Rattus norvegicus: one gene and its partners. The protein of the gene in region 1 interacts with the protein of each later gene in a pairwise test. Links are inferred from orthologs where the notes say so. Each region holds a gene or a part of one and is shown on either strand. Other genes may lie near its edges.

What was found.
Region 2: the proteins of Ubac1 (region 1) and Rnf216 interact in binary tests that used the Homo sapiens proteins (3 or more experiments, as listed by UniProt). The link is inferred for Rattus norvegicus from reciprocal best matches to the Homo sapiens genes UBAC1 and RNF216.
Region 3: the proteins of Ubac1 (region 1) and Cpsf6 interact in a two-hybrid assay, tested with the Homo sapiens proteins (2 studies listed by BioGRID and IntAct). The link is inferred for Rattus norvegicus from reciprocal best matches to the Homo sapiens genes UBAC1 and CPSF6.

What each region holds. Positions count from the first base shown.
Region 1 is NC_086021.1:29,235,148-29,245,571, forward strand, and holds part of Ubac1 (ubiquitin-associated domain-containing protein 1), read right to left. Parts: intron 5,901-10,424; coding exon 5,780-5,900; intron 4,598-5,779; coding exon 4,524-4,597; intron 19-4,523; coding exon 1-18.
Region 2 is NC_086030.1:16,581,644-16,592,067, reverse strand, and holds part of Rnf216 (E3 ubiquitin-protein ligase RNF216), read right to left. Parts: intron 7,905-10,424; coding exon 7,774-7,904; intron 5,612-7,773; coding exon 4,802-5,611; intron 3,417-4,801; coding exon 3,340-3,416; intron 897-3,339; coding exon 794-896; intron 1-793.
Region 3 is NC_086025.1:54,857,100-54,867,523, forward strand, and holds part of Cpsf6 (cleavage and polyadenylation specificity factor subunit 6), read right to left. Parts: intron 8,527-10,424; coding exon 8,317-8,526; intron 6,815-8,316; coding exon 6,711-6,814; intron 4,174-6,710; coding exon 4,028-4,173; intron 3,241-4,027; coding exon 3,067-3,240; intron 2,941-3,066; coding exon of another isoform or gene 2,830-2,940; intron 2,403-2,829; coding exon 1,898-2,402; intron 1,601-1,897; coding exon 1,485-1,600; intron 388-1,484; coding exon 234-387; intron 1-233. UniProt on the Homo sapiens protein: Component of the cleavage factor Im (CFIm) complex that functions as an activator of the pre-mRNA 3'-end cleavage and polyadenylation processing required for the maturation of pre-mRNA into functional mRNAs.

The DNA of each region.
Region 1 (10,424 bases):
CTTTTGCTCTTGTTTCTTCTGCAGAGAAAAGTGCCCAGCACCATGAGGATGACAATAAACATGGAACAACAGCCCAGAGATAAGGAGAACAGTAACCTTCTAAGCCTTAGGTATGATCCCCTTGAGCTAGAGGATTCTGGAGAATTCTGTGTACAGAACCAGAACCAGAAGCCTAAAGATATCCAGACATGGCCTCACATGCTATAGCACATGCACGTGAAGACGGAGAGGATGCGGCTGCAGAGTGGCAGTCCTGTGTGCTTCATCGGGGCTGGGGGAGGCCTCCGGGGGAAGCACACAGCTGCAGTGACCCCTGGAGGCCTCCCACGCCTCCATGAATGAAAGTAAAAGCCAAGGTGGCAGAGGCTCACAGATAAGGAAGGAGGCGAGAAAACAAAACCAGCAGTGGCCGCAGTACTCAGCAAGTTCAGAAGGTACAGGAAGAGACCTGTGTACAGGTAAACGAGCTACAGAATGGTTAGAAGATACACACCGAGGATGGCTGGGGCCATGGCTGATGCCAAGAGCCCACAGGGCAGAATCTACCAAGAGCAAGGCTAGACCAACCTACCAAAGGACAGCACAACACTGGAGCCAGAGAGAGCAGGCCTGGGATCCAAGAGCCAGACAGAATGGTACCTCTGCCTCTCACACCCTTGGCCAACAGCAGCCTGGTTGGCCTGAGACCCTAGAGTGGCTGCACTCAAGAAGGGATGGCGGGAGGGAAGGGACCCTTCCTGAACCCAGCTACTGCTCTACTTCTTGTTCACCCCAGCTTCTCAGACTCAGCAAGTCAACCAGGGCAGACGAGACACAAAGGGGACAAGGTCTCTGCACAGTGAGCTCAGCACCTACACAAGCCCCGAGGGCTCTCAGAGTCTAGGGTATAAGGAACACTGCCAAGACCAAGATGAGGAAAAACAAAAGTAGTGAGGAGGAAGAGAGGAGCAGGTAGGGGAGGTGGGCACCTCAGTACCAGCAACCCCAAGCCACACCCACCCAGTATGTGCACACCAGGGTGCCACCAGCCAGAGCCAAAGCAGCCAGGTAAAAGGGCTAGAGAATGGGTAGAAGGTACAGTTAAGAAATCCACAGGATGCCCATGAGGCCAGCCAACAGCAGCTGCAGAGAAAGAAAGCAAGAAAGAGATTATCAAGAACAATCAGAGAAAGCAGGTGTGCTGGTGCGTATCAGTACCAGCAGCACTTAGGAGCACTTAGGAGTAATAGCAGCACTTAGGAGGAAAAACCTCCACCAGTTCAAAGTCAGCCTCGACTACACAGGAGCACAGCTAGCAAGAGCCACACAGCGAGGCCTTATCTGAAAACCTAAACATCTGAGGAGCTGTTAGACGGCAGAACTATGGAGAGCAGAGCCTGGTCAGAGGAAGCGTGGCTCTGAAGATGTGTCTTTCTGCTTGTTTGCTTTTTTCCAAACAGGTTTCTCTGTGAAGCCCGGGCTGTCTGAGACTTGCTCCATAGCCCAGGCTGGCCTCAAACTCAGAGATCCACCCGCCTCTGCCTCCTGAGTGCTGGGATTAAAGGTGTGCACAGGACCCGGCTGCAGATACGTGTTTTTTTTTTTTTTTTTTTTTCTTTTTTTTTGGAGCTGGGGACCGAACCCAGGGCCTTGCGCTTGCTAGGCAAGCGCTCTACCACTGAGCTAAATCCCCAACCCCCAGATACATGTTTTAAAGAGTATGTCTGTCCCTCCTTGTCACTCGTTTTTACCTCCTGACTGCATGCAGTGGACAGCTTTTGTTTGCCAGGTTCTTCTACCACATATCTGCATGGTTACAGCCTAAAAGCAGTGACGCCAGCTGATGATCCCAGACTGAAACTTTGGAAAAGTGTACGTCACAATAAGACCTTCCTCCTCTAGGATGTTCCCATAGGTGTTATGTCACAGTGATGCCAAGTCTGACACACCGAAGGAAGACAGACGGTATTCAATTCTGCAGAACAGAACTCAGACAGCCACATGTTTCCTGCTGACAGTCCCCAAGTCTGCAAAACCCTAAGATGTAAGCGAGGTGATCAGTCCTTGGATTGGGTTTCATCACATGGCACAGCTAAATGTAGAAAAAGCAAATGGGTTTTTGGGCCTGGCACTTAGAACCCTTACAAAGGGTATCACTCTTTCCAACAAGGGGGTTCAACCACTAAAATCTCTGCTTCCTTGGCAAAGATGAAAAGCCATGCAAACTGCCTTCAGGAACTAAAGGTTGACCATAGTGACAGAATCCTGTCAACTGTCTGCAAGAATCCAGAAGCACATTCTTCTCACAACCTCAGCTGAGCCTTCTGTCCTCACAAGCCTTAGAACTACGCTCAGAAAGCAGTTCTGTGGCAACCAAAGGAGGCAACAGGAACCCAACATCCAACACAAAGACAATCAGAGAGCTGGCTGCACGGTGGGTAGCAACTCAAACAATCCACATAGGCTAGAAGCCTCTGAGGGCCTTAGGCACACAAGACAAAGCTCAACCACTAAGCTACATCCCAAGGCTCAAGAGGAAAAAGAAATCCTAATACTCTATACTTCTCACAGAAATGAGTGCTTCGATGACAACAGTAAGTAAATAGGACTGGCTTTGCCCAGCATTCACTGTCACACAAGAAGAGCCTAGGAGTGGAGCTGTGTCCTTATCACTAAGAGGCACATCTAACGCTGCCATTCCAGAAAGAGCAATGAATGCAGAGTACCTAGAGAGCAGGAAGAGAATTACTGAGGATAACAGCTGAAGGAATTAGAGGTGGGCTGGGGTGCCAGTGGCATGCATAAGGCAGCCAGAATATGTCCCCAACACTGACAAATTGAGTGACTTCCTTCAGGAAACCTGAGTCAATTATTATTAGATTTGTAGTATTCTTTGACTCTTAATAACTGCATTATTTTGACTTAGAATTTTAAGTAATGCCATGATTTTTAACTTTGCAGTTATGTACTGTGTCAAGGCAACTCTAGCAAGCTTCTAGCTTACTTATTTTTTTTTTTTTTTTGGTTCTTTTTTTCGGAGCTGGGGACCGAACCCAGGGCCTTGCGCTTCCTAGGTAAGCGCTCTACCACTGAGATAAATCCCCAGCCCCTTCTAGCTTACTTATTAATGAGTATTCTTAATGTATACCCACTTGCCAGAAGAGGGCACTGAATCCCCTTAACATGAACCACCATGTTACTGGGAATTGAACTCAGGACCTTTGGAAGAGCAGCCAGTACTCTTACCCACTGAGCCATCTCATCAGCCCCAGAACTATGTTCTTAATAGTTACAGGGACTTCAAGTTGAACATCCAGTTAGAGCTGTAATCCGAGCTCTGCTATCTATCAGTTAGGAAAGCAGGGAGAGGCCCAGGATCTGTCTGGTGAAGATGGATGGGGCAGCCTGCCCATGTGCTGCTGACTGTACCCACACCCACACCCACCCATCGCCATGGCCAGGTGGCCAAAGATAAGGAGGGTGAGAAGGCCTGGCACTCTCCTACATCCTTGGCCCCAGTAGAGATCCCAAAATAACTCGTGTGCTATCAGGTCACAGGTCCACCCAAGAGCTGGTGTGATCCTTCCCTAAGACTAACGCTCACTCCCTGGCATTTGAACGCACGTATAAAAAACTCCAGAGCCCTGAGACAGTTAAACACAGGTGACTGCCCTTAGCAGAGCACGTCCTAGGGTTAGAGCGATGGCTCAGCACTGAAGAGTGCTTGCAGGGTTGGGGATTTAGCTCAGTGGTAGAGCGCTTGCCTAGCATGCGCAAGGCCCTGAGTTCGGTCCCCAGCTCCGAAAAAAAAAAGAAAAAGAAAAAGAGTGCTTGCTACTCTTCCACGGGACCTACACTCAGCTCCTAGCACCCACTTCAGGAGGCTCACACCCATCTATAACTCTAGCTCCTGGGGATCAGAAAGCCTCTTCTGGCCTCTGCAGGCACAGACTCACAGAAATACACAAATAAAAAAATAATATTATAAACAATTTCCCCACTAGGCACAGGCATGTGGTCTGCTGTTAGAGTAGACAGGCTACTGACAGGATACATCTTGCACTGCATTAGAGAATTTTGCTGAAGGATGTGCTCTGGGGCAAAAGAGACAAAGGGGTAGTTTTCCTAAGGCCCCTAGAGAAGAGAAGGTGCAAGCCACAGATCATCCTCTAACATAGGCCTCAGGACATAGAACTCAGCATAACTACAAGGAAATACACAGGCCCAACCAGCTGCTTGTCACCTCTCTGCATGCCAGCTCCTTGTGTGCAAGAGCCACACTAGCAGCAGTGCGGAGGTAGCACCTTCGAGAACCGTGTCGTCACTCTCTTCTGCCTCCAGACCAGTGGCAGCTCTTCTGTTGCTGTTTAGCAATCACAAACACACTCAGGGAACAGGCTCAGCCATGATGAAAGGCTCCTTACAGCACACATACTGTGGAGGGGCTATACACTCCCAGAAAATAACTCAAGGACTTCTCTGAAGTCTGACACATAAGAGACACCTAGCAGTGAAGAGCCCTAGTTCCGAATGTTGAAACTTACCTTTTCTTCTGCTGAGACATCAGCCATCTTAGGGATTGGGGAAGGAGCACGCTTCTTTATCAATAACAAGACGTCTAGAAAAAAGTAAATTACACTGATGAAGTAAGTTACTGTCCCACAGCCAAAAATGACATAAAAGGTACTAGATGGGCATTAAGGAGATGGCTCCGTGTTTTCAGGCTTGCTATGCAAGAGTTCAGATCCTCAGAACCACGTAAATGACAGATGGGCAGGCAGCCTGCCCGGAGTTGTACTACCTGGAGGCAGAGACTGGGAATCCCTAGCCAGGATGGCTGTATAGACAAGCTCTAGGTTCAGCAAGACTCTGCCTCAATGAGTTAAGAGATGTCAACCCAGACTTCCACACGCATGTTTACACATGCATACATATCTGTGTGTTCACACACACACACAAACCACATATGCACCTGACACACAAGAATAGTGCTTAATGCTTGAAGTTAGAAAGCAGGATCCTGGGTCCCTCCTAAGCCAAGCCAGCATCCCCTCCTCAGCTTTGAAGTGGTCACTAGGTCACTATAGATGACCTGAGGCTTCAGAGGTAGGCACGGCACATCCCTGATAACCACACAGAGCACTAGTGGACATCTTGCATAATGTCTTTATTTTCAAGGGCTCTTCTAAAGCATGAGCAACCTACAGCCAGTTCACCATGGTGGGGGAGGGGACGTGGGGTTACCTCCCCCTCCATTTTGAGTTTGGTCATAGCTCATCATAAGTCCTTATTTGAAAACAAGTTTTGTCCCAGAGCCAAGCATAAATAAAAAGTGGGTGTGCAGAACAAAAGCACTCGGACCCTCAAACAGCTGGCCACAGTACTAGCCTGTGAGGAGTACTTCCAGCACAAAAATAAAGCCACAGAAAGGAGCTCCAGAATCTGGCTTTGCTTTAAAACAGGACTAAACTTAACACTTGAGTTTGGCTTCTCAGATGTCTGCCAGTTGTCCGGTTTAGGTTTCTGCTGTTTTTCACAAGTACAACCAAACACGCACTACTTTTTTTTTTTTTTTTTTCCGGAGCTGGGGACCGAACTCAGGGCCTTGTGCTTGCTAGGCAAGCGCTCTACCACTGAGCTAAATCCCCAGCACACGCACTACTTTTAATTAAAAACAAAACAACAAAAAAAGGAGTCAATCTGGTTCTCCTGCTCTTGTCTAAATTCGGAAAAGTGCCTTGTGGGTGACCCTGGGATACAGGCTCCATGCTCCGTGGACTCCGCCTCATGGCCTCCTTACCTTGGTCCTGGATGTTTTCTTCCAAGATCGTTTTGCTGTCACTCAGCACCCTCTCTGAAGCAGCATGTATTAACTTATGGTGAGTCACATTCTTGGGGTCTTCTAGGCTCCCATGAGCACCCTGGGGGAAGAATTAAGCCACAAATCTCTAAATTGGAAGTAAATTATGATACATCTCAAGCCACCCATGGAATTACTGAGGTTTCTTGTCGTTTTTGTCTCTGTGTCCTGGATATGTGTGTTTTCATGTGTGTAGGAATATGTGTTTTCATGTGGGTAGGTATATGTGTTTCCACAAGCATATGGCAGCCAGAGGCTAATGTTGGGCGGTCTTCCTCAACTACCCACTTTATTTATGAGGCAGTATCTCTCATTGAACCTGACTTATCAATGCAACTGTGCTGACTGGCCAACAAGCTCGTCCTCCCCCTACCTTAATGCTAGGGTTACAGAAATGCTGCTGCCACTGGCTTTTACACAGGTACTGGGATCCGAACCCAAGTCCTCATGCTTGTATAGCAGCCATGTTACCAACTGCGCCATCACCCAACCCATGGAATTACTGCATTTTCATACCAGTCAAGACATTAAAGCATTAACGACAGTAAAGAGTCCCACACACAATCCCTCCACACTTTCAAGCCTATTTCCAGCCCACAGTAGACTCCTGGGATGGCTAAGAGCTTGGGAACACAGATCCCACTGATAAGAACTTGCAACCCGGGGTTGGGGATTTAGCTCAGTGGTAGAGCGCTTGCCTAGGAAGCGCAAGGCCCTGGGTTCGGTCCCCAGCTCCGAAAAAAGAACCAAAAAAAAAAAAAAAAAAAAAAAAAAAAGAACTTGCAACCCAAATCACTTCAGTTTGGAAAGATCTGGAGAATGACTTTTAGATGAATATATGCCTGTTGTTTCCTGAGGATCTGAAGCTCTAGCTGCTTTATGCTTTGTTTTTCCTTCTTTAGCAGACACACAAAAGGCAGAAGAACTGCACAGAAAGACCACCACTTTCCAGGAGCAAGGAGGCGACACCTGCCCACTGACTACCAAAAAGTCCTCAGCAGGTCACAGGGTACAACTGGCCTCAGCTAGCCTTGGGCCCAAGCAACACTCCAGGAGACCAGGGAGCACACGGCAGTGCTTATGTCTTCAGGGCCCTAGACCCTAGTGACAGCATCAGCAGAGGAGGTGGGAAGCAAACCACCGGTGCTCTGAAGGGACCCAGCAGGTGATCTCACAGGCATCTGCCTCATGACAAATGACTTCACATACTGAGTGGAGGCTGTGCAGTCCCTTCAATCCTCCACCAGACTGTAGACAGAGGCGTGGCAAACGTAGTTTATAATCTCAGCAGGCTCCAGCACTCACCCACACAGAATGCAAACACACTGTCCCCAATGAGAGTCCCACAAAGACCAAGAACACACTGCTGGTACCACATAGCACAAATGGGGGCTCACTGTGCCTGTGTGTCTGTCACCAGGTGTACTCACCCGAGTTTGTAGACGTTTCTACAAGTCCATCACTGCCCAGCATCACATGACTTTCTCAGGTCCACATACTACACATGATACCAAGTCAGTTTCAGCCCTCTCCAGACTCAGAACAAGGCCAAGGGCTATAAGTATTTCTTGCCACTATGGGTCCCTGGTGTTAGATTGAGAATGGAAGAAGTCCAGGAAACCCAGTCAGAGGACTCACTAGTGCTTTCTAAAACCTGAAAGGGGCTGACACACAGGCTTGGAGGAGGAGGAAGCTTTGGCCTGTCTCAGAATGGGCCACCTTGCACATTCAGGACACAGGGTTCTTCAGGCCTTCCCTGGTGTTCTGGAAGGCATCTCGGGTACCATGATGCATACATTCAACAAAGGGCCTCCGTATATATGGCTGCTAACCAGAAGAGAAGGAAAAACTGAAGCATGCATTTCCCTCTAGACCCTGTAATCTCAGTCTCAGACTGGGACCAGTTTTAAAAAGTGGACCATCATACACAGACAAAGGTTACTACGGGCTTATGAGATAAATCCACCCCACAACAACTGACTTCTTCACCATTGTGACTAAGCAGAGAACATGACTTTCCTTGAACCTGAAAATGGATCTTAAATTTGTTTGAATTAAGAAACACCTACGGCATTGATAAGGCACACTGCTGGATGCCTATGAGAGCTTTCCATAGAGAATTAAATGAGGGGAAGAAAACCAAGCCTGAATGTTGTAGCCCCATCCCAAGGGCTGGAGTTCCAGAGGAGTCGGCCAACCAAGCGCCAGCACTGCCCTTTCTGCTTCCTGATCCAAAGACGTGAGCAAGCGGCCTCAGACTCCCAACGACACAGCCGCCTGCCACTACACCCCACGGCCCACTACCACATAAAGAACCATATTCAAACCATGAGCCAAAATAAACACCCCTAAACAGTGGAACACCCATTCTGCTTCCAAAAATATTAAGTGGGATGCTTTGAAATTCTAAAATCCCTGGCTAATCCTAGCATATTTGTCAAGTTCAGAATACAGTCTGAAATGCAATTAAAAAATAGTATCTGTACTCTGAGGCATGCCAGCAGCACATGAGGAACAAGACATGTCATAGGTTGTCACACCACACACCACCACAACCCTATGCTTGCACGCACATATCCTGTAGGTGACTGTCGTTAGCTTCTGCTCATATCTGCTAGTGTATAGCATGGAAAGACGACAGGGCATGAATCTCCACAGGACCTGGGACAGTTCAGGCTTTGGAAGAGAAGTCCTGTGCTTCCTCCAGATGCTTGATACCACAGAAAAGTTCCTCCACACTGCAGCTCCATCATACCATCCCACTACTAACCCTCGTCAGAAAGGAGGGCTTACTGTGCCCCCTTCCCAGACATAGGCAGTGGAAGCTGGGGAATATCACTGTGAAGTCACTTTGGATAAAACAAAAAAAAGGGAAGGCAAAAACAAGTCTATTTCCTTAAGAATTTTAATAACAAGCTGTACTGTATCAAGGAGTCCTGTGGGAGAAAAATTTTAAAAAACTCTATCAAACCCCTCAGGAAGAGAGGAAAGAAAGAAGGAAAAAATAATAGTAATAACAACCCCAGTAACCTGTGTGCACAGGAGAATAAAGAGAAAGGAAGTCAAGTCAAGACAGCAACATCTTATGCAGGACAGGTTTCCAGGTACACAGTCAGGTACAACAAGAAAGTCCTCTTTTCTAATAAATGCATTGTAACTCCTAGAGCTGCTGGGACCTGGAGGTGGGTCAATTCTGATGCCTCTGCTCTCTAGTCCTGTAATTTTACAACAGCTCATGTGCTGTGAAATTCTCCTGCTGCTTCAGCCCTCATACCTGGAGAATGTGGAGTAGAATAAAGTCTCAATTTAAACAATAATGACAAAAATGGTCAAAATGATACAACTCCACATGTCAACTAGAATATTAAGTATCACAAATTAGCATCATATCAAAACCTTCTGCCTAACCCCATTGCTCCTAAAATCTATTAATAAGCATCTATGAATCGAATCGTCTCCTCACTCCCTTCATAAAATAGTGTCATGCTGATTATGTAAGTCTACACCATGAGTGAGTTAGACAAGACACCACAGCAGTGAAGGTGACATCCCATGCTGACGTGGTTTGAGGCTAACAACACATTTCATTCCCTCAATCCGTACACGGGCTTCAAGGTATTCCAAGCTCAGCCCTGAGGAACTAGACCTAGGGGATGACACAGCATAGTACTAGACCAGCGAGGATGCTAGGAACAGTCTGGATGCCCAAGGAGTCCCCAACCTTTAAGCTTGTGCTGAGCCTCTGGGCACAAGCTTAAAGGTTGAGGACTCCTTGGGCAATCTAAATACATTTGTTCACCCTAGGGCCTCACTGAGGTGAACCACAGACACCAAGACCCATGGTTACTCAACATCTAATGCACTGTAGATCTCTTGGAGCCTACCTGACATCATTACACACTGACTACAGGAAGGAGGCACACGGATGTTAAACTAGCCTTTGCAAGCAGCTGCTACAGTAACTCAAAGATCATCTTTAGAGGGAAACACAATGCTGAACTTTAATGCGACCTACCACTGTAGAGTTCTAACTTTCCCAAGAGTCCCCTTTAAAAAGCAGGGGACTTTCAACATAAATTCTGGCACTAATCATGTCTGGTATAATGCTTCCTAGACCACCAGTGTTTAACAGGTATCTGTCTCACCTTTAACTGAGAGCAGTTAGAGCCAGGAAGGCTTCAAGAACTAATCCCAAGACTTTACTATCTAAAACTAAAAGGCTAACTATAGTACAAAGCTCACTGAATGTAAGTAAACTTAAATGCCACTTGCTGGCAAGGAGACGGTTGTCCTGGACCTTCCCACTCAATCAACTGTTGCCCTAGCAGAAGGTAGAAGCCTAGGGACTTGTCCCACAGTGGCACTATTTTAAGTGACTACAGCTAAGTGCCAAATCCAGGCTCCTAGCAGCTGGCTCTTCAGGCAAGAAGCTGTCCCTCTTATAATGGGATCTAGTTACTTCCAGCTTCTGGAGAAAACTAAAACCTTATCCCAACAGCGGGCAAGCCCAAGACAAGAAAACCATAAGCCCTTGCTTTTGCCTCTCCCGGTCTCCGTTCAACTCTCGCCTTCACCTCCGTAGCAC
Region 2 (10,424 bases), on another chromosome or scaffold:
TCAGCTCTAAAGAAAAAAAAAAAAAAAAAAAAAAAGAATCATCTGGGGTGGGGTTTTTTAACCACATAACACACTCAACATTAGTGGTAGATCACAATTATTGACTAAATATTAAAGTTTTGAAACTTTTGACATCTTGATATGAGATTTGGCTAAATGGGTTGAACACAAATCTTTTAAGAATGGCTATCTATGGGCTGGAGGGAAGGCTCAGAGGTTGAGAGCAGTTCCCAGCAACCACATGGTGGCTTCACAACCATCAAAAGTGAGATCTAGCGTCCTCTTCTGGCATGTAGGCACATGTGCAGGCAAAACACCTGTACATAATAAATCTTAAAAAAAGAATGGCTACGTGCATGCTGAAGTATTTGCAGGGAAGTGGTTGTTTTTGCAATTTAGGATGGAAACATTCTAAGGAACAGCAGTAACAGACAGCAGTACAATAGAGTAGTACACCAACAATTCACGTGAAGCATTCAACTTTTATATAAATCCACAATTATAAAGCATTAAGAAAAACAAACTATTAGAACAACACAAATAATACTGGCTAATTCTTTTCCCTTAACTTGCTCTGCAGAATTAAAGGCACAAGAATTTGCTTAATTCTTTATGGGAATGGAAAGATTTCAAAAAGGAGCCTTCAGGGAGTCTGCAAACATTATGAAATGTTATTTTTCCTGCTTGCCTGTAAAGCCCTGTGTTAACAGCACCTCTTGCTGTCAGCAGGATGACCCGGAAAGCAGCAACAGAGCAGAACAGATCCAAGTGGCAAAGCCACAGGAATACTTGCCTTCACATCATCCTGGCTGGCAAGCAGGCTACTGCTGGGGTGGATAAGGATTCGGTCTTCTCTCTTTGGATAATCTGGATTTTCCAGGAGAAAATTACAAAGTCTGCAAAGTAACCCACACAATGTTACATAGTACTTTCCAAAGCCCAGACTTGCCCACTGAATCACAAAATACTTGAGGGGAAAATGTCTCAGAGACACAGGACAACTAAATTATCAAGGAATTAAGATGTACCAAGTTGGGGGGTTGGGGATTTGGCTCAGTGGTAGAGCGCTTGTCTAGCAAGCACAAGGCCCTGGGTTCAGTCCCCAGCTCCGAAAAAAAAAAAATAAGAAAAAACAAAATAAACAAAGATGTACCAAGTTGGGGTTGGGGATTTAGCTCAGTGGTAGCAAGCGCAAGGCCTCAGCTCCGAGGGGGTGGGGGGGAGATATACCAGGTTGGCACATTCCTGTAATCCCTACACTTGAGGTCGAAGCAGCAGGAGAATCTCAAACTTGACATTGTTTCAACTTAGGGGAAAAGAGTTAAGATATAGTATCCATGACAAACTAGCAAATAACAAAGACCAGGACAGCAGCCCTCTGATTTCATTTTGCTAGAAGTGATGGTGCACAAACATAACCCCAGCACTCAGGAGGCTTAACTCCCAACCACTGAAGCTGCACGGGAAGACTCTACTCAAACAAAACAAAAACACTGAGCACACTGACAGATGCAGACTCCTCTGAGCTTTAACTTCCAGAGGATGACACTTCAAGGAGTACCACCTAAACTGCACAGAACAAGAGTGGAGAAGGAAAGTGGCCACTCCTCAAGGAAACTATGAGCACATATAAAGAGGAGAAAGTGCACAATCAAACACATTTGCGATCAAGTTCAATTACTGAGCAAATAAATGAACTCCAGAACATCAGTGTCCTTTGCATCCTGTTGTGGTAAAGTAAGCTTCTGGGTACTGCGTCAGTCTCAGCTTATCAGCCAACTCCAAGACTGATCAGCAGACCATGTCTTCTAGGACAGACTCTCTTAGTATCAAGCCTGAGGCTTCCTCTACTCTACATCACTGTTGAAATGCTTCAAGCTAAGATGAGATAGCACAAGCTAACCCATGACGACGCACCAATGTCAAGACTCAAGCAAAGTCAACTATCCAGGCTCTTCACTCGTAACCAAGCCAAGTCAGAAGGCTGGACAGAAGGCCAGCACAGCAGTCAGTGCGGAGGCTGGCCTGGGTGGGGCTCAAAAGCAGAAAGTGTGAGCTCATAGGGAAGTAAGCTTTCCTCTGTGTTTTGCTCCTTTCCTTGCTATGGCAGATTTGTAGAATCAGCTCCCTTAGATCTCTCACCCATTTCCTTTCTTATCCAACGTCAGTAGTGTGTCTCTTAACAGTATAACAGATATGGCAAGAAGAGAACAGAGAAAAGAAGTCCCTTTCTAGGGTCCTCTTCTCACCAAGATGCCAGTAAGAGGACCTACAAGGGGGGATCATATGTTGGAGACAATGAGAAGCTGCAAATAGTGGCATACATTGTTAAAATCCCAGCACCCAGGAGGCAGAGGCAGCTCAATTCCAGGTTAGCCAGGGCTACACAGTAAAACCTTGCCTCAAAAAATAAATAAAATAAACATCATTAAAAAGGCATGAAAAGTAGCTGCTAATATTTTTTCAAAGTCTACTCCAAGGCCTGTCTTTCCCAGTCTGTTCGGGTATAAAAGAGTTTTATCCTTAATCAAATTCCCTGAGGCTAAAAGAACAGTGAGCTTTGAGGCTGGGAAGAGATGGGGAAGTTAAGTGTTCAATGGAGAGCCTCAGTTTAAGATGATACCAGTTCTGGAGATCAACAGTTGAGAGCGCTATACAGTAATGGGAAATGTGTTTAATAATACCATTCAACTATATGTTCAAAAATAGCCAAAATGTTACCTATACTTTACCAACAAAAAGAGAAAGAGGGGGGGCTGGAGAGATGGCTCAGCGGTTAAGAGCACCCGACTGCTCTTCCAGAGGTCATGAGTTCAATTCCCAGCAACCACATGGTGGCTCAACCATCTGTAAAGAGATCAGATGCCCTCTTCTGATGTATCTGAAGACAGCTACAGTGTACTTATATATAATAAATAAATAAATCTTTAAAAAAAAAAAAAAAAAGAGAAAGAGGGAGCATGGTGGTGTGAATAGGGATGGCCCCCATAGAGTCATGTGTTTATATATGCTTGGCCTATAGGGAGAGACGCTATTAGGAGGTGTGGCCTTGTTGGAGAAGTGTGGGTGAGCTTTGAGGTTGCCTATGCTCAAACCATGCCCAGTAATAGTCTCTCCTTGCTGACTGAGGATCAAGATGTAGAATTTTCAGCTCCTCCAGTACCATGTCTGCCTCCTGCCATGATAATAATGGCCCATACCTCTGGAACTGTAAGGCAGCCCCAATTAAATGCTTTCCTTTATAGGAGTTGCCTTGGTCATGGTGTCTCTTTATGGCAATGAAACTAGGGGTGGGGTGGGGGGTGAGGGGGCTGGCAGCAAGCATGGTAGAATACTTACACATTCAAATCATAGTAATTTTTCAAATGAATTATCTCTTCAACATATCCATTTGCTACGTCTGGAAATCTTGCTTCCTAGAAAGAAAGAAATATTTATATTTTGTTCCTTAGAATGGATTTGAAGATAATAAAAATCAAATAGCAGAAAGTATACAAATTGCCTTAAAACCGGAGAATGGCTGTAAAGCAGCCCTGTGCCCCTAGAGCTGCCTATAATCCTAGTACTTGAGAGGTAGAGGCAGGTGGATCTCTGAATCCAAGGCCAGCCTGGTCTACAGAGTGAGTTCTAGGACAGCCAAGGTTACAGAGAAAATACTGTCTTTAAAAAAAATAAAAACACCCCCCCCAAAAAAAACTAGCAACAACAACAACCATTAAAAATGTATATAGGGAGGTTGGGGATTTAGCTCAGTGGTAGAGCGCTTGCCTAGCAAGCGCAAGGCCCTGGGTTTGGTCCCCAGCTCCAGGGGGGAAAAAAAAATGTATATAGGGGCTGGCTGGAAAGGAGGTTCAGGTTAAGAGCACTCACTGGCTGCTCTTCCAGAGGACCCAGGTTCAATTCTCAACATCCGCATGGGAGCTTACAACTATAACTCTAGTTCCAGGGGATCTGACACTTTCACACACACATAGACACAGGCAAAACACCAATGTGCATAACTTAAAAATAAAATTTATATCTATAGTGCATAACTTAAAAATAAATTTTATATCTGTCTATCTATCTATCTACCTACCTACCTATCTATCTATCTCTTACCTACCTACCTACCTTCCTATCTCAGCTCCTAGTCCCCAGATCAGATGGGGCCTACAAAGACCTTTAGAGGTCATCTACCCTGTCCACTCTCCATCCTTCGAACAAACACTGAGAATACAGGCCAGAGATCAGAAAGGAACATTCCCTACACCTGCCTTCAAACTCACCCCCTACCCCCAGGGTCAAATAAAAAGACCTAACAAATTAGGAGACTTAGGGAAGGCAAGCAATAGCTGATCTCAGAAAACAAAGGCCTGCTTTGCTCTCTACTGCAGATATCCTACAGAATCACGACTATTAAGATGACTGATGCACTGGAAACAGAATGTAACTTTATTCAGCTCTCAGAGATTTACAATACTCACAAGAGCTACTGGTTGCTGTATTAGATGGCCCAGAGCTAGGAAATATAATAAACAGGAACATAAGGCCTTGACAAACAGGAGTTTACAAGAATGACAGCATCAGGCTCCATTAGGTACAACTAGCACCAAGAGCCCTCCCTGGAGGTAGAGGGCACAGGCTGGGTTGTAGGCTGTCTAGCTATCTGGGTTCCTTTCTTTCACCCTAGGTATGTCCTTCTTTGGAAAATAAAGCTTACTTATACAACAAAGCATCTCTTTACTGCAATGACAGAAAACAAATGTATAGTATCAGTATTAGTAGCATAGCATTCTTTAATAAAAAGAAATGACCTTACCGTTTCTTTCACTAACAGTGGAATGAGCTCTTGATCCCCTTCAGCAGCTTCTTGTCCCCACACATTTGCCAAATTGGCCTCCTGGGGTCCTGGCAGGGGGTAGGCAGGCCCAGGGTCTTCATCAATTGCTAATTGCTGGTCTTCAAGCTCTCCTAGAGGATGGGCTGGTTGTGGAGAAGCGGGTCCTGGAATCCCCTCCTGCTGGGGTTCTGGCCTTGGAAAAGCTGGCTCCGGGAAATCATGGCGGAAAAACATTGGGCCCATTTCTGATTCAGAATGTCGCTCTTGGGGCACAAGCTGGTTTGTTCTCTCCTGAGGCTGTGGATTCAGAGCCTGGAAGTAGGGATGGTCAAGCCAGTACTCTTCTTCAATTAGCTGCTCATCTACTGAGGCAGCTGGCTCACCAGGATTTGATAAAAGATCTGTCTCTGAGTCTTCAGATAATTGGTTCTGAACTTCCAGAGGCTCACTTTCTGAAAAAAGAAGACCATTTTCTCCCAAAATAATGACTTTCTGCTCCAGCCTGGGGCTGACAGTATTGTCTGCTGTCTGCTTATTGCTTGGTCCAGGTTTGGCTTCTCCTCCTTTTTTCTCAGTCTTAAGATCCAGAAATCCACCACATTCATCCTCAGAATCATCCTGTGCCCCAGAATCAAACAATGAGTTGTTACAAAAGGAAAAATAGCTGTGGGTATCTGCTTCAAAGTCTGCTCTAGATTTTCTAGGCCTTTCTTCTCCCAATCTGTTCAGATCTTGCCACTCGGCAGCTGGTTTGATGAGATTGGGCCGGGATGTCTGAGGTTTATGTGTCTAAGAAAAAAATGAAATTTTAATAATAAAAATTCAATGTCCTTCCTGTATCTATGCCTGGTTCTGGGCTTGTAATGAAAGGATAAAAAACAAATAAAACCAGAAGCATCTCAAGGGAAAAAAACTATCCCATTTTTTTTTTTTTTAAAGGTAGGGAGGCTCAGAGTACACCTGGCTGGCCTTGAACTCACAGAGATTTATCTGCCTCTGCCTTCTAGGTGCTGGGACTAAAGGTCTGCAGCATCATAAATACCATTCACATTTATTTTAGTATTGAAAATTGATTATGTCCAAAGTAGAGGCTAGAAAGACAGCTCACCAGTTAAAGTGTGATACATAAAGCACAAGGACTTGAGTTTAATGCCCAGCATACAGACAAAATACAGGGACAGTATATGTGTGATCCCAATGTCAAGGAGGCAGAAAAATGCAAATTGCAATGGCCTCCTGGCCTGCCAGTCTAGTCAAAACGGTAAGTTCTAGGTTCGCTGACAGACACTGCCTTTAAAAAGCAGGTGGAGAACAACAGAAAATGACAGCAACCCTCAAGATTTTCACATGTGTCTGTAAGTGAATGAACCCTCACACATTGGTCCACAACCGTAACATACGCGGTCATGAGCGTGTATAGGCAAGAACATAGAGAAAACTAGAAGCCAGTGAGAATGTAAAGTAGCAGAACCACTGGCAGGATACAACAGTTTCTAAGTGATGCAGCAACTCTACCTCTTGGCATACACAAACAGAATGAATACATACAGTCATACGCAAACTTTACATGAATGTTTACAGCACAACTACATGATAGTCAAAAGGTACAATGCGAAAGACCATCATTGGTTGTATACACAAACAAGATATCTGCAAAATTCCCAATTACACTGAACCGTAAGCCACTGATGAGGTGATTTAAGAGCATGCACAATGTGCTTCAAGCCACTAAGGTATAAGGAGAGGTAACAGGAACATGCAGCTGGGTGCATGCCTTTAATCCAAGCATGCAGGAGGCAGAGGCAGGCAGAGCTCTGCGAGTTAGAGGTTAGCTTGATCTAGTGAGAAACCCTGTCCTGAAAAAAAGGAAAAAAAAAAAAAAAGAGGCTAAACACAAAATAAAAAAAACTAAAGCAGTAAAGGAACCACTTAAGAAATGAAGTCTGTCAAACATGAAAAAGCAGAACTACAAAAGACCAAAACAGAAAATAAATGCAAGTACCACTAGGTACATTTCAGAGTTGTGTCTTGGGTGAAGAAAATGAGTAAAACCAAGAAAATGAACTAGAAAAATGGCTCAGTTGTTAGAGAACACTTGATGCTCTTCCAAAAGACGAGTTTGGTTCTCGGCACCCACATCAGGCAGTTCATAGATGCCTGTAAGGCCACCTGATGTCCTCTGTGGCCAAGAGCACTTGCACACATGTGGCATTTGTTCTCGCAAACACATAAAAATAAAAATAAACCTTAAGAAAAATGATTAGAAAGAAAGGAAGGGAAAACAATGGTTAGTTTATAAACAGGAGAAATCCCAGTATGGTACCATGCATTCCTAACCCCAGCACTCGGAAGTGAGATGAGTCTGTCATTTCTATAACAAGTTCCAGGCCAGCTGAACTATATGAGACCCTGTCTAAAAAGAAGAGGAAGGAAAAAAAAAAAAAAAGAAAGAAAAAAAAGAAAAAGTGGGACTAAAATAATCAAAATAGAAAGGGAAACTGGGGGGTTGGGGATTTAGCTCAGTGGTAGAGCGCTTGCCTAGGAAGCGCAAGGCCCTGAGTTCGATCCCCAGCTCCGAAAAAAAAAAAAAAAAAAAAAAAAAAAAAAAAAAAAGGGAAACTGGAAAATCTACAGAAGTAAAAAGAATAGACTTTAAATTTTTTCCATATATTCAAAACCATGAAGAAATAAAACTCAAACTATTTTCAAAAAGTCAGCATCAAGTTCATAAAAATGCATAAGTCGGGGTGGAGGCACCTGAGAACTATGAAGGAATTAAGTTGTTATAGTAAGGCGCACTATATATACTATGGGTTAACTGTAAAGAAGTGAGAGTAGTAATGTGGTAACAGAAGGAGAAAGGGCACAGGTCACAGAGAGGGTTAACACTAAGACACAAGAGGCAGATGGGAACAGGTTGTTTTCATTATGGACAGTTTGAAAACACTCACTTCTGTCAGGATGACATCATCATCCAGGTCGTCTTCCTGTTGCTCAGTAGCCGGGGTAACCAGCATTGGAATCCCTTCCTCATCAGAGGAGTCAGATATGGTGATGGGCCCCTCTCTGACAGCCATCCACTCTACAGTGAGGTAGAAAGCATGAGCTCACTCAGTTGGCCAAGCCTCAGCAGTTAACTTAGCACGACAGTGCACACAGCCTCAAGGAGTAAGAACTGCTTCCATGCTGATTTTGCCAATAACACTGAGAGATGCCAGGCAAAATGTATCAACTTTTTCTATGTTAGGGGTTTGTTTGGTTTTGGTTTTGGTTTATGGCATGGTTTTATGCTATACCCATGGCTGGCTGGCTGGCTTGATACTATGAAGACCAGACTATACTCAATCCTCCACCTCAGCCCTTGGAGTACTAGAAATACAGGCACTGAATCTGTTCAAAAGAATCTGTTTAGTTGGGTACATCGATGCACTAGGAAGATCAGAAGTTCAAGGCCATCCTCTAGGCATAGAAAGATATAGAACCCAAATTGAGGGAGTGATACTTTGCCTCAAAAAAACAAACATGGGGTTGGGGGATTTAGCTCAGTGGTAGAGCGCTTGCCTAGCAAGCGCAAGGCTCTGGGTTCAGTCCCCAGCTCCGAAAAAAAAAAAAAAAAAAAGAAAAACAAAAAAACAAAAAAACAAACATAAACCCAAGTCTCCTGAATGAGCTATGTCCTCAGGCCAACTGCAAATGTTTTTCATATATGAAATTATTTTATTATGACATTGTCATAGAACTGCCAGCTTTTAGAGACTCCCCATATATAGTTTTTGTAGAAATGAGACTGATTTGTTAAACAACTACATATGAAAGGATGCTCAAAAATACTAATATATTTACTTAAGATTTAAAAATCAGTTTACTTTATACAGACTACTTAAGCAGACTTTTCCATTTGAATCAAACATTTAGCATCCACTGAGCAATCATCTGGCATCTAGGACACTGGGCAATTTAAGTTACCTGCTCTCATTTTTATAAAGAAGCCATGCAGCATTTTTTAAGACTTATTTTATTTATTATGTATACAGCATTTTGACTGCACGTATGCCTATAGGCCAGAAGGCGGCACCAGATCTCATTATAGATGATTGAGGGGCACCATACAGTTGCTGGGAATTTAGGATTCTGGGAATTATGAGGATTCTGAAGGAGCAGAATCTCTCAGAGGAGAAACCAAGCTCAGGTCCTGCTCAGCGGGCAACTTTACTCACCGAGCCATCTTGCGAGGCTGCAGAGCTCTCAGGGCTAGGCAAGAGCACTGCCACTGAGCTATATCCCCAGCCATGACTTTGCTTTTATGTTTGTCTTTCCTTTAGACAAGGTCTTGCACTGTAGTTCCATTATGTATGGAGCTCACTGTGTAGCCTAAGCAAGCAAACACTACAAATCAAGGGCTCGGTTCCACAACCATGGAACCCTGACAAACCAGGAAATAGTTCTACATCTTTGCAGGCTCCTTGTGCCTTTTCCCACCTCCACCCTCTATCCTACTCAACTCTACAGATGAGGCTTGGTTGGTTGGGATTCCTGTGTCTCACTTTCTTGTAAATTGCATGCCTGGGATACATCCACACTGCTGTGATGACAGTTCTCTTTGCTGCATGTGAATCTGCTGTGAATGTACCATAAACAATTCATTCTTCCTGTGATGGGCATCTGAGCTGGTGCTGATGTGGACTATTTTGGATACTGCTGGTATGTACATGCTTTGAGGTGCTCCTTTCAGTTGGGGACAGTCTGGGAATGGACATTCTGAGTCACAGAGTAAGCACATGTTCAATCTTGGGAAACAAACTGTATTGCTAAGCTGATGCAGCAGACACAGGGTCTGCTATTTGGGCCTTAACATTTGCTGATCCCTAACCTGTACTCCTAACTCCCCAAAGCTTTGCTATACAATACATGTACATTTTTATGTATTAAGTTTTCTCTAAAACATGGATTTACTTTGGGCTAATCTGAAGCCTTTTGTTATGTTTTGTGAGACATGATTTCTCTGTATATCCTTGACTGTCCTGGAACTTACTCTGTAGACCACACTGGTCTTGAACTCAAGAGATCTGCCTGCCTCTGGAATTAAATATGTGTCTCAGCACTGCCAAGCCTGAAGTCTATTTCACATATACAAGGATTTTTAACAAGAACTTGGGCTGGAGAGATGGCTCGATGGTTAAGAGCACTGGCTGCTCTTCCAGTGGTCCTGAGTTCAGTTCCCTGCACTCATAGGCTCACAACTGTCTATAATGGGATTTAATGCTCTCTTCTGTTGTGCAGTCATACATGCAGACAAAACACCCAAACATGTATATAAATAAACAAATAGATAAATCTTAAAACAACTTTGTAACTGATTCATGTCAATTCCAATATGCTGCATAAAAGAATTCTACCAAAAAAAGTGTACTATAGTTTGTTCTATGTATAGGGAAGTGAATAGTAACACAAGCAGATCAGTGACCTCTCGAGGTCAAAATGGTGTGAGGCAAGACAAAGAAGAATCTTCATAAGGTAGCAGAAATGGTCTGGTCACAATTCTAAGGTTTCGTGTTCATTTTTCAGAACTTTTCTTTTTCCAGAATTCTTGAGGAAAAAACTT
Region 3 (10,424 bases), on another chromosome or scaffold:
ACAAAAACAAGGGGTTGGGGACTTAGCTCAGTGAAGGGCCTGGGTTTGGTCCCCAGATCCAAAAAAAAACCAAAAACAAAACCAAAAAAACAAAACAAAACAAACAAACAAAACCAAAAGAAAAAACAAGCCCCCAAAAATTGTGTGTGTGTGTGTGTGTGTGTGTGTGTGTGTGTGTGTGTGTGTGTGTGTGTGTGTGTGTGTGAAAAATACATGACACAGGAACATTTTACCTTGATCCAGACCCATAGGACTTGGACTCAATTCCATGAAGGCAGTCTTGCAAAGAGCTAATAAGAACTTTGCAGCGATCGTCGGCAGATACTTTGGATTGTTTAATTAGAGAAATTGCTGTTACCAATGTTTCAATAGCACTCCCATAATCACCTGCAGGAGAAAAGAAAAGGTTAATTATCAAAAAAAACTTGTTTTCAAATTATCTTTTGAGATGAATTCAAGCTGTCCTAGAACTCAGTCTATAGAGCAGTCTGGCTCAAATTCAGAAATTTGACTACTTTCCAAGTCCAGGGGTTAAAGGCATATGTCATCTCCGCCTGACCTGAAAATCATCTTCAGATGACCACAGACAATGACTTTTGTTCAGTTTTTTGGAGTTTGGAAGACTCTCATTTTCATGAAGCTAATACAATTGATTCTGCCATGAAGAGACACAGTTATTACTTTGCAAATATGGGAATGAATAAGCTATCTCTAGGGCTCTGAACCATAAAACACCAAAGTTCATATTTATATCGTGTCAGGTGCACAAGTGTTTTGCCTACATATGTCTTTGTATCCAAAGCAAGAGTGGTGCCCACTGAGGCCAGAGAGGATGTCAGATTCCCTGGAACTGGAATTATAAAGGTTGGTGAGCTACCATACGGGTGCTGGGAATCAATCTCAGCAGCCAGTGTAACTCCTAAGCTACCTCTCCAATCCCCAGTTGGAATTTATTTTTAACTTAATGTAAATGGACATTTTGTTTGCATGCATTTCTGTGTACCCTGTGTGTGCCTGATACCCACTGAGGAAAAAGAAGGATAATGGATTCCAGCACTAGCAACCAGTGCTCTTAACCACAGAGCCACCTCTCCACCCAATAAGTATTTAAATCTAAATCTAGTAATTCAAAACTGGCAGTCTTCCTATTACAATCTTCCTTTAATACTTTAAAACTAAGTGACAGATGATTTGGGACTAACTATACAGATTACATAAGAATTAAGAAAATTCTTTATATGCTGCACTTAGCTTTGGGTTGCGTTTAATTTTAAATTTTCTGTGTATGGGTATTTTGACGGCACGTGTCTATCTTTGCACTGTAAGCAGGAGAGGGCCTTGGATCCCCAGGAACTGGAATTAGCAGATGGTGGGTTCTTCTGGAAAAGCAGCCAGCTCTAAACAGCTAAGTCATTTCTCCAGCCTCTGGGTTTAGGGTGATTCTTAACATAAATAGGAAAGAAGACTGAAACAAATATACAAACCAGCACTAGCATCAGATACAGCTCTTGAAATAGCACTGCTAGAGATTGCCCGATTTCTATTCATGATTTCTTCAAACTCAGCTTCACTCAGAGGTGTTCTTGCAGTATCCATTTCCCTACAAAAGACAAAGGAATGATATGTTGTTACTTAACAAAAGTTCTCAAGTTAATAATAATGTAAACACCTCCAAATAAGCAGCTTTTGGCATTTGCTTTAGAGAAGTTGTTACTTTTCCAGATGGAAAAAGCTGTCTTCCCTATCACATCAAATTCTCCTTTTCTAGCTGAATTTGTTGCAGTTTAGAAATCTGATCTTTCTACAGGACAAAAACTATATTTCTAAAATATAAAAGACTTCATAGTAATTTATCTTTTACCAACTAAAGAGTTTCAGTACTCCATGTTTAACTTACCTCCCAGGGGGACCATAGTCACCCCTATCATATGGTGGAGGTCGGCCATATGGGTCTGTTGGCGGTGGACCTCGACTATCTGATGTTGGCATGCCACTATTAGTTGGTGGAGGGAAAAAAGCAGGATTCACATGTGGAGCTGGTGGTGGGGCACCTGGAGGTGGTCCCGGAAGATGTGGAGGAGGAGCAAGTGTAAGGGGAGGCCCTAGTGGACCTGGTGGTCGAGGTGGAAAGGGGCCTGGAGGTGGAGGTGGTCCCTGCTGTGGAGGCGGTGGACCTGGAGGGGGGCCGTAGCCTGGAACTGGAGGTGGAGGCCCAGGAGGAAGTGGACCCAGCGGAGGCTGCCCAAAAGGTTGTCCAGGAAAAAGAACTGGTGGTGGAGGGCGGTCTCCTCGATTAGGAGGTCCTGCTAGAGGAGGTGGCAGAACCTGACCGGGAGGTGGAGGACCTGGGGGGCCAGGTGGGCCAGGTGGACCTAGAGGTGGACGTGGTGGAGTCTGTCCAGCTATAAAATAAAGGAGAGAAAAGGGGGGAAAAAATCACTTCAATAAAGATATTTAACCATTACATGTCAAGAATACATTTCTAAAAGCAGAATTTATAAACCATGACTCGCTCTTTGAATGAAACCCACAGGGTAATGCCCTAATAATTACAAAGATAAAGTTTAGTTTCCTTACAAATTTAACTAGTGCAAATTATGATTACAGAAAATCACTACACAGAGAACTTGGTAAGATTTTAACACTGAGTTTCCATCTCTCAGCGCACACTTCTCACAGGGAAGTCGCCCACTTTACACTCTACTCTGATGCCAAGCTACAAGGGAACAGGGAAAATGGTCTTGAAAGGATTTTTTAAGAAGTAAGAAAATAAGACGGATGTAAATATTCTATATATAAAGTCAAGCAAGTGTGGAGAAAAATAAAGACCTTTTAGGCCAAAAATGGGTATTTCCTCTATGCTGTGCCCCATATGCCATGGAATCCTAGTTTCCAGGAACAAAGGCCGAGTTCCTTTAACAAGATGCTTGATCAAATTTCCTGGGTTCCAAAAATAGCATAACAAGGAGAGTGAGTCACGTTAATAATGCATTACTTGAAAAAGAGAGAAAGGAAAAGAGGTATTAGGCAGACATGTTTTCTCCATGATAACTTAAAAAGTTTTACCTGGGAAAGGTGGAGGTGGCCCTCCTGGTCCTGCTGGCCCAGGAAATCTGTCCCCACCAGGAACAGCCCCTGGAAAACGGCCCCGTCCTCTACCACCTTGTGGAAATGCTGCGCGTGAACCGCCTCCTGGAGGACCAGCTTTACCTTCCCCAGACATTTGTCCTGATTGTGTAGCTGCAAACATCCAAATACTCATAAATAGCACTTATTAAAAGTGTCTGAGTTGTAACCACTGCTGTTAGAGACTATTTCAAAGTTCATTTATACTACTCATCAATTTCTAGATGCCTCAGACCTAAAGTACTTGGCAAGGAAAACATTCACATTTATTTAAATATTTTCCTAGTCTTAAAATATTCAAATTTAAATGTATTTCTACTGAGAGATAAACAAGTTGCTTTTAAAATACCAGTACTCTGCAATAGCCAAAACAGAAAATCTTCAAAAGAAATCTTAATTTCAATAACAGATTATTTTATGCCATGTAATATATTCTTCAGATAAATCTTATATTAAATGCCCCAAAAAACAAAACAACCACCTGAATTTCTACTAATAACAAGTGTCTTCTATATTTATTTTACCAAGCAGCAAAAGGTCTTGGTAGCAAGCAGAAAACCCAGTAACTACTTCATTAGCCTCTCCCCCACCAGAGCAGATAATACATGTAGAGGCTCCTCCTCTAAGGTTAGAACGAAGCTTCTGTTCTCCAGGATGAGAGTGGCAGGACAAGAATGTCAGCACCAGAGAGCTTTCAAACTGTTGCATACTGACTGGTCTATCTAGAAAAAACTGGAATGGGAGTGGGTTTCCAGTATATTGACCCATAGTCATAAGCAATGATTAAATCAAGTTCATGTAAAATTAAATAGTAACATGACTTCCTAAGTGTAATATTTAACAAATGACAGCAACACTGCTTAAATACATTTTTAAAAAGGCTGCTGAGAGATTTGCTTACTTTTCCTGGATTGCATTTCAAACTGACTCAGGAACTGTTTATTGCATGGAGTTACAACAGGATTCTGACCGTGAAGTTCTCTTTTAGGCAAAAGATCCATTAACTTTTTGGAAGATGCTTCAGATCCAACACCAACAAGGGCAAATCTAAAAGATGTTAAGGGGGCAAGAATAAAAAGCAAGGAGGAACTGAGAATGTTGCTGTTGATTAAAAAAAGAAACGGTCTTAATCTTTTTTGAAAACATTATGTACAGTGTCCAGCCTGCATGTATGCCTGTATGACAGAAGAGGGCGCCAGATCCCATTACAGATGGTTGGGAGCCACCATGTAGTTGTTGGGAACTGAATTCAGGACTTCTGGAAGAACAACCAGCTCTTAACCGCTGAGCCATCTCTCCAGCCCCTTAATTTACTTTTATGAGAAGAAAAAATAAACTATTTAAGGCTCCACAAACTTGGACTACTTTTTATAATATACTACAGAATCCACTCTCAATGTACACTCTAATAATTTTTAAAGTATATTCATGTGTTTTACAAACATCATGAAGGTTCATTTATAACATCATTACCCAAAACAAAGATATAGCCTCTACCAACATTCCTATTTACTCTTGTCTCTTAATCATACGGAGTAATGAATCTATTTTGTCTCTATAGATATGCCTCATAGAGTATGAAATTCTTTACAACCAGCTTCACTGAGCATTAAAGATCTAGTCATGTTATAGCATGCATCATTAATTCATTCCTTTTCATGGCTGAGTAATGTTCCATTATAGATATCAGTTTTGGTTTTGCTTTAAGCCCACCTATCAGGTAGCAGGCACTGGAGTTGTTGTCACTTTTTATTGCCACTAAAAGTTATTCAGGGGCTGGAGAGATTCCTCAGTAGTTAACAACACTGACTTCTTCCAGAACTTAAGTTCAATTCCCAGTAACCACATGGTGGCTTACAACCATTCATAACTCCAGTTTTAAGAGAGCCAATTCTCTCTTCCGGTCTGCATGGCTATGAGGCCAAACACCTGTACACATAAAATAACGAACTAATGCTCAGTATCACTGCCTGCCAAGGTACAAATCAAAACCATAGAGATGCAATTTCCCATTATAATCAAAATCACAGCTATTCAGTACTGGTAAGGTAATGAGAAACTACAACCCTTCTTTCTGCATGGTTGAATGTACAATCTGGCAGCTTTTCAAAAGTTAAACACACTTACCATATAACCTACTAACTCCACTCCTAGATATATGCCCAAAACAAGCAAAACTTTATGTTCACACAAAACAGTATACTATTAAGGCTGACCACATTAACAGCTAAAAGTAGAAACCACCCACACATTCCTCAGCAGATGGATATTCCTCATTAAGTGCTACCCTATTATATGAGATTATCATTCAGGTATAAAAAGGAATGCTGATGCTGTCACACAGAGGAACCTTGAAAACATGACACCAGGTCAAAGAAGTCAGACACATGGGATATTAATATTATTGTAATTATAAAATATCCAGTACAATTTATTTATAAGATACCCAGAATAGGCAAATTCTGAAGTAGACAGTACATGAATGCTTATCAGCAAAGGGTACAAGGGAGACTGGGGATTAATGCTAACAGACATAGGGTTTCTGTGGAGGTGTGGGGTTGGTAGGGTGATGAAATATTCTGAAATTAGAAGAATTACAATGGTTGCTTAACTTTGTAAATATATATTTGTAAGTACTGTATTGTACTCATACACATGCAAAATAAATTAATGTAAAAAGATCCAATTATGTGCTTACTGTATTATTTAAGAGGCACAAGTAGAAACAACAATACACAAAAATAAGAAAAGATGTATTTATCACAAGCATTTCTCCTGCTCTTTGCAATCAAACATGACTAAATATGAATTATAATACTATCTTTTAGAGGAAAGCATAGAAAACACATTCACTTTCTTACTTTTAGATACTTGCATTATACAATGCTCATATAATAATCTTAGAGAAATGGAACAAGATGCCTAGGTTGCACTATTCAGTTAGTCTCCATCACTTTTATTCTTAGGGTACTGGGATCAAACCCACACATCAGGCAAGTGGCTCCAACGCCAAGCTAAATACCCAGATCTTCGCTATCTTTTTTTCTTTTTGGGGGTGTATGGGGGTAGGGCTGTTGAGACAGGGTTTCTCTGTAGCTCTAGCTGTCTTGGAACTTGCTCTTCAGATCAGGCTGGCCTCCTGCCTGCCTCTGCCTCCCAAGTGCTGGGATTAAAGGTTTGTGCCACCACCATCTGACACTTCCTTATCACTTAAATCACAACAAAAATAATACTTCTTAGCCTAGTTGTTTCTATCTTAGGAACATATAGTATATAGAACGAACTCAGTATAGTCAGGAAACAGGCCTAGTCTGTCCAGTCCTATCTCAGGCAGCTTCTGTGTGTTTTTAAAAATCAGAAAATAGAAAATTCAAGTGAGAACCTCTGCCTAAGATCTTCCTCCTAGTGTGTTCATGTGGCTTCCTAGGAACTGAGACTGTCAGGTTTGTGCAGCAAGGACTTTTACTACCTAAGCCATCTGTCAGTGCAGAGATGTCATCCACATGTGTGTCATCAGCATTGAACTTAAGGCAAACTAACTTGTAGTCACTATCAGATTACATTAGGAAAAATTAAATTCTTACCCCTTTGATTGTCCATTTGCCCGATTTTCAAAAAATTTTATCTCCAAAATATCATTTACTCCCAAAGAATGAACTGCTTCAGTTAGGTCCTCATCTGTTGTCCACTGCAAGACATTTCCCCTTATTAGCCATTAAGACATATTCAGGTTTTATTACTGAATTTAACATTTAAAGGTAAACAAGTGATAAAGGAAATTTTTTTATTTTTGCAAATCTAAGTAGAGATACTGTATAGTACCTACCATACTACAGTAGGTAACTAATACCAATTTAATATCAAACATTTAACTCTTACCTAAGTCACTATTTTCATAAGATGCAACAGAGTCTGGGATAAACCCCTTACTCAAAGTCACGAAACATAAGCGTATACCAATTCCTTTTTTTACTTTTTTTGAGATAGGGTTTTGTGTAGCCATGGCTGTCCTGGAACTCACTGTGCAGACCAGGCTGTCCTGGAACTCAAGATCAGCCTCCCCAGGCATGGACCACCAAACCCAGCAAAAACACCATTTTTTGTTTTGTTTTTTTAAGACAGGATCTCACTATGTAATCTTGGACCTAACTGTGTAGACCGGGCTGGCCGTCAAACTCAGAGCTCCCCCTGCCTGTGTTTCCCCAGTGCTGAGATTAAAGGTGTGGACCACCAATTATTTAGCAGCTAAATCTCAAGTTACACTGCCATTACTCCAATTTTGTGAGGACTGTTCAGACTGGATGACAGGAGACTCAGTCAATGTGAGGGCCAGAGAGAAGGCCCCATGGAGGACCTCAAATTCAATTCCCAACATCCACAAAATGGCTCACAACCATGTAACTCCAGTCCCAGGAAATCTGATACCCTCTTCTGGCCCCTGAATGACTATATGCATGTGGTGCATCAGCATGCATACACAAATACCAATATACATAAAATAAAATCAAGACAATAAAACGATGTGAAGTTAAATATTTTCACATAAAATTCTATAAGCAGAGTAGAAGTCAACATGTTGCTATAACTTTTAACTTTCCAATATAATAGCTGAGATAAAGACATTTCTAGAACTGCTTTAGTGACTGTAGGGTCTGATGTTAACAGACAAGTGCTCATGAGGAATTTTACCAATAGTCTCAGAATCTTATCAACAACACAATTAAAATACAAAATATATCCAGGCAACAAATATTTTAAAGTGTCTAACAACTTCTAACTAATTTCAAATTAAAGTCAGAAATGAAACTTAAATTTATAATATGAATTAGAATAAGGAATATTTTTAAAACTATAGTGGCATTTTATCTTTCTTTGTCCCATAACCTTAAATTCCTAATTTGAGTTCCTGCGTGAACAATTTTCTTGGTGAAACTGGTAGGAACGTAAAAAGGGTGAGTGAACACAATTGCAAACTCAAGTAGAATATCCCCAAACCAGGCTACAAAATTCCAAATTATATTAACTTCAATGTCTTTTTAAAAGAAGTTGGTTTTGCCCTTCTCATCACTTGGGCAAACATGAAAAAAATTAATTTTTTTATATTGTAATGTCTATTTTTTTTAAAAGCTGGGCAAAACCATGTACTGCTAGATCAGTTCAAATGACTGCCAACAATCTGTGTTTACTTACCCATGTTAGATTTCCAATATACAATGCGATTCTCTTTCCAGTGTAAGTATAGACAACGTTTGGTGCTGCCCCTTTACCCACATCATCACCAACAGTTGGTGGAAGAGTATCCATGTAGTCCCGGTCTTCTGGGGCATCGCCATTATTTGCAGATGGAGAGATGACATCATCATACAAATCTATCTGATCATGCCCACCATATTCCGCTTCCTAAGATACAGAAATAACATTAGATTATATGAGTCAGAATAGTAAATAAATGTGAATACCGATTCATTCAACTTTCTTTTTTTTTTTTAAAGATTTATTTATTTATTATATATAAGTACACTGTAGCTGTCTTCAGATACACCAGAAGAGGGCATCAGATCTCCTTACAGATGGTTGTGAGCCACCATGTGGTTGCTGGGAATTGAACTCATGACCTCTGGAAGAGCAGTCGGGCGCTCTTAACCGCTGAGCCATCTCTCCAGCCCCTCATTCAACTTTCTTATTTTAAAAATCTCAGACAGGAAAAGGCCCAAAGATCTTAATACAAGTCTCTTCTTATTTTATATAATAGATGTGTTCTTGGTGACTTAACTAATACCTTCCTTGAAAATATTCTTAAAAATAACCACACATAAATGCAAATAGACAAGTTTCCAAAGAGTATTTGTCATAATACCATCTCACACACACACACAAAGGTATTATTATAAGTCTTTATTACGGACCACATGTGAGACACCAGTTTTTCTTTGGTATTCAGATCTTATTTATCTACTCTGAGAACACTAATGGGTTTTTTTTTCCTTTTCTTTTTTTCGGGAGCTGGGGACCGGGCCCAGGGCCTTGCGCTTGCTAGGCAAGTGCTCTACCACTGAGCTAAATCCCCAACCCCTACTAATGTTTTTATAAGCTAAGCCATAGGTGACTAAAATACACACACATAGAGATAGATATGATATATACATGTTTCAAAGTCTTAATTATCTAGTGAAATAAAAAAAATACATAAAGCTATTCAAATAATATCTTGCAATAATTGTATTACTCTCAGTAAACAAAGAGCTACTACTTACCTGACTTTTTTTTTTTTTCTTTTCTTTTTTTTCCGGAGCTGGGGACTGAACCCAGGGCCTTGCACTTGCTAGGCAAGCGCTCTACCACTGAGCAAAATCCCCAACCCCTTACCTGACTTTTAAAATCTAGCCAGGTACATTAGCAAATGAAAAGTATACACATAGGAGTTAGTACAACTGCCACTGTCACCAGCAGAATCAAAGCATTGCTAGGATGTCACTCACATGCCTAGCAGATAAGCCAGGAAGAGGAAAAGAACAAAGAAAGTGACCTGAGGAAGAAAAAAGTAATTCAATTTCTCAACATCCCTTTCCACGACCAAATTATCCTACCAATATCAATGTGAACTATTCTACCCTTCTGAAGGAAATCTGAGAGAGAAAAATGCAACTTAAGAGATATAGCTAGGGGTTGGGGGTTTAGCTCAGTGGTAGAGCGCTTGCCTAGCAAGTGCAAGGCCCTGGGTTCAGTCCCCAGCTCCGAAAAAAAGAAAAGAAAAAAAAAAAAAAGAGAGAGAGATAGCTAGTCATAACAATCTCTCATGTGTACAATGTACTAGGAACTGGCATATAAATGGCATACAAGAGCTAGTTTTAGAGAACATAATGATGACCAAGTAAAAATTTGCTATATGATCAAAAGATACTGTAGGCACCAAGAGTGCATGGCTATTGTTCCACTTTTCAACAAAAAGCCAAAAAAAAAAAGACTTAATTTTTAAAGAGAAAGGGAAGAAAAAAACCTAGAAAACAATATTCACAAAGCAATAGAGACCTCAATTTTCCACTGTTTTTTGTTAGATAACCATTAATAATGAACTATGTAACTTTCTAAATTTAATATTACATATTTACTTATCACAAAGCAGGATGTCTGTAACTCTTAAGACTTACAAGTTAATAAGAGCTAACACGTTAAATAATTCTGTAAGTTAATGAGACTTAAGTTATCAAGGTAAATCAAAGAAAAGCCACCTTCAGCAAAAGGCAGAAATTAAGATAAGTCACTGAATGATGCCATTGATTTTAATGCACAACAATGCT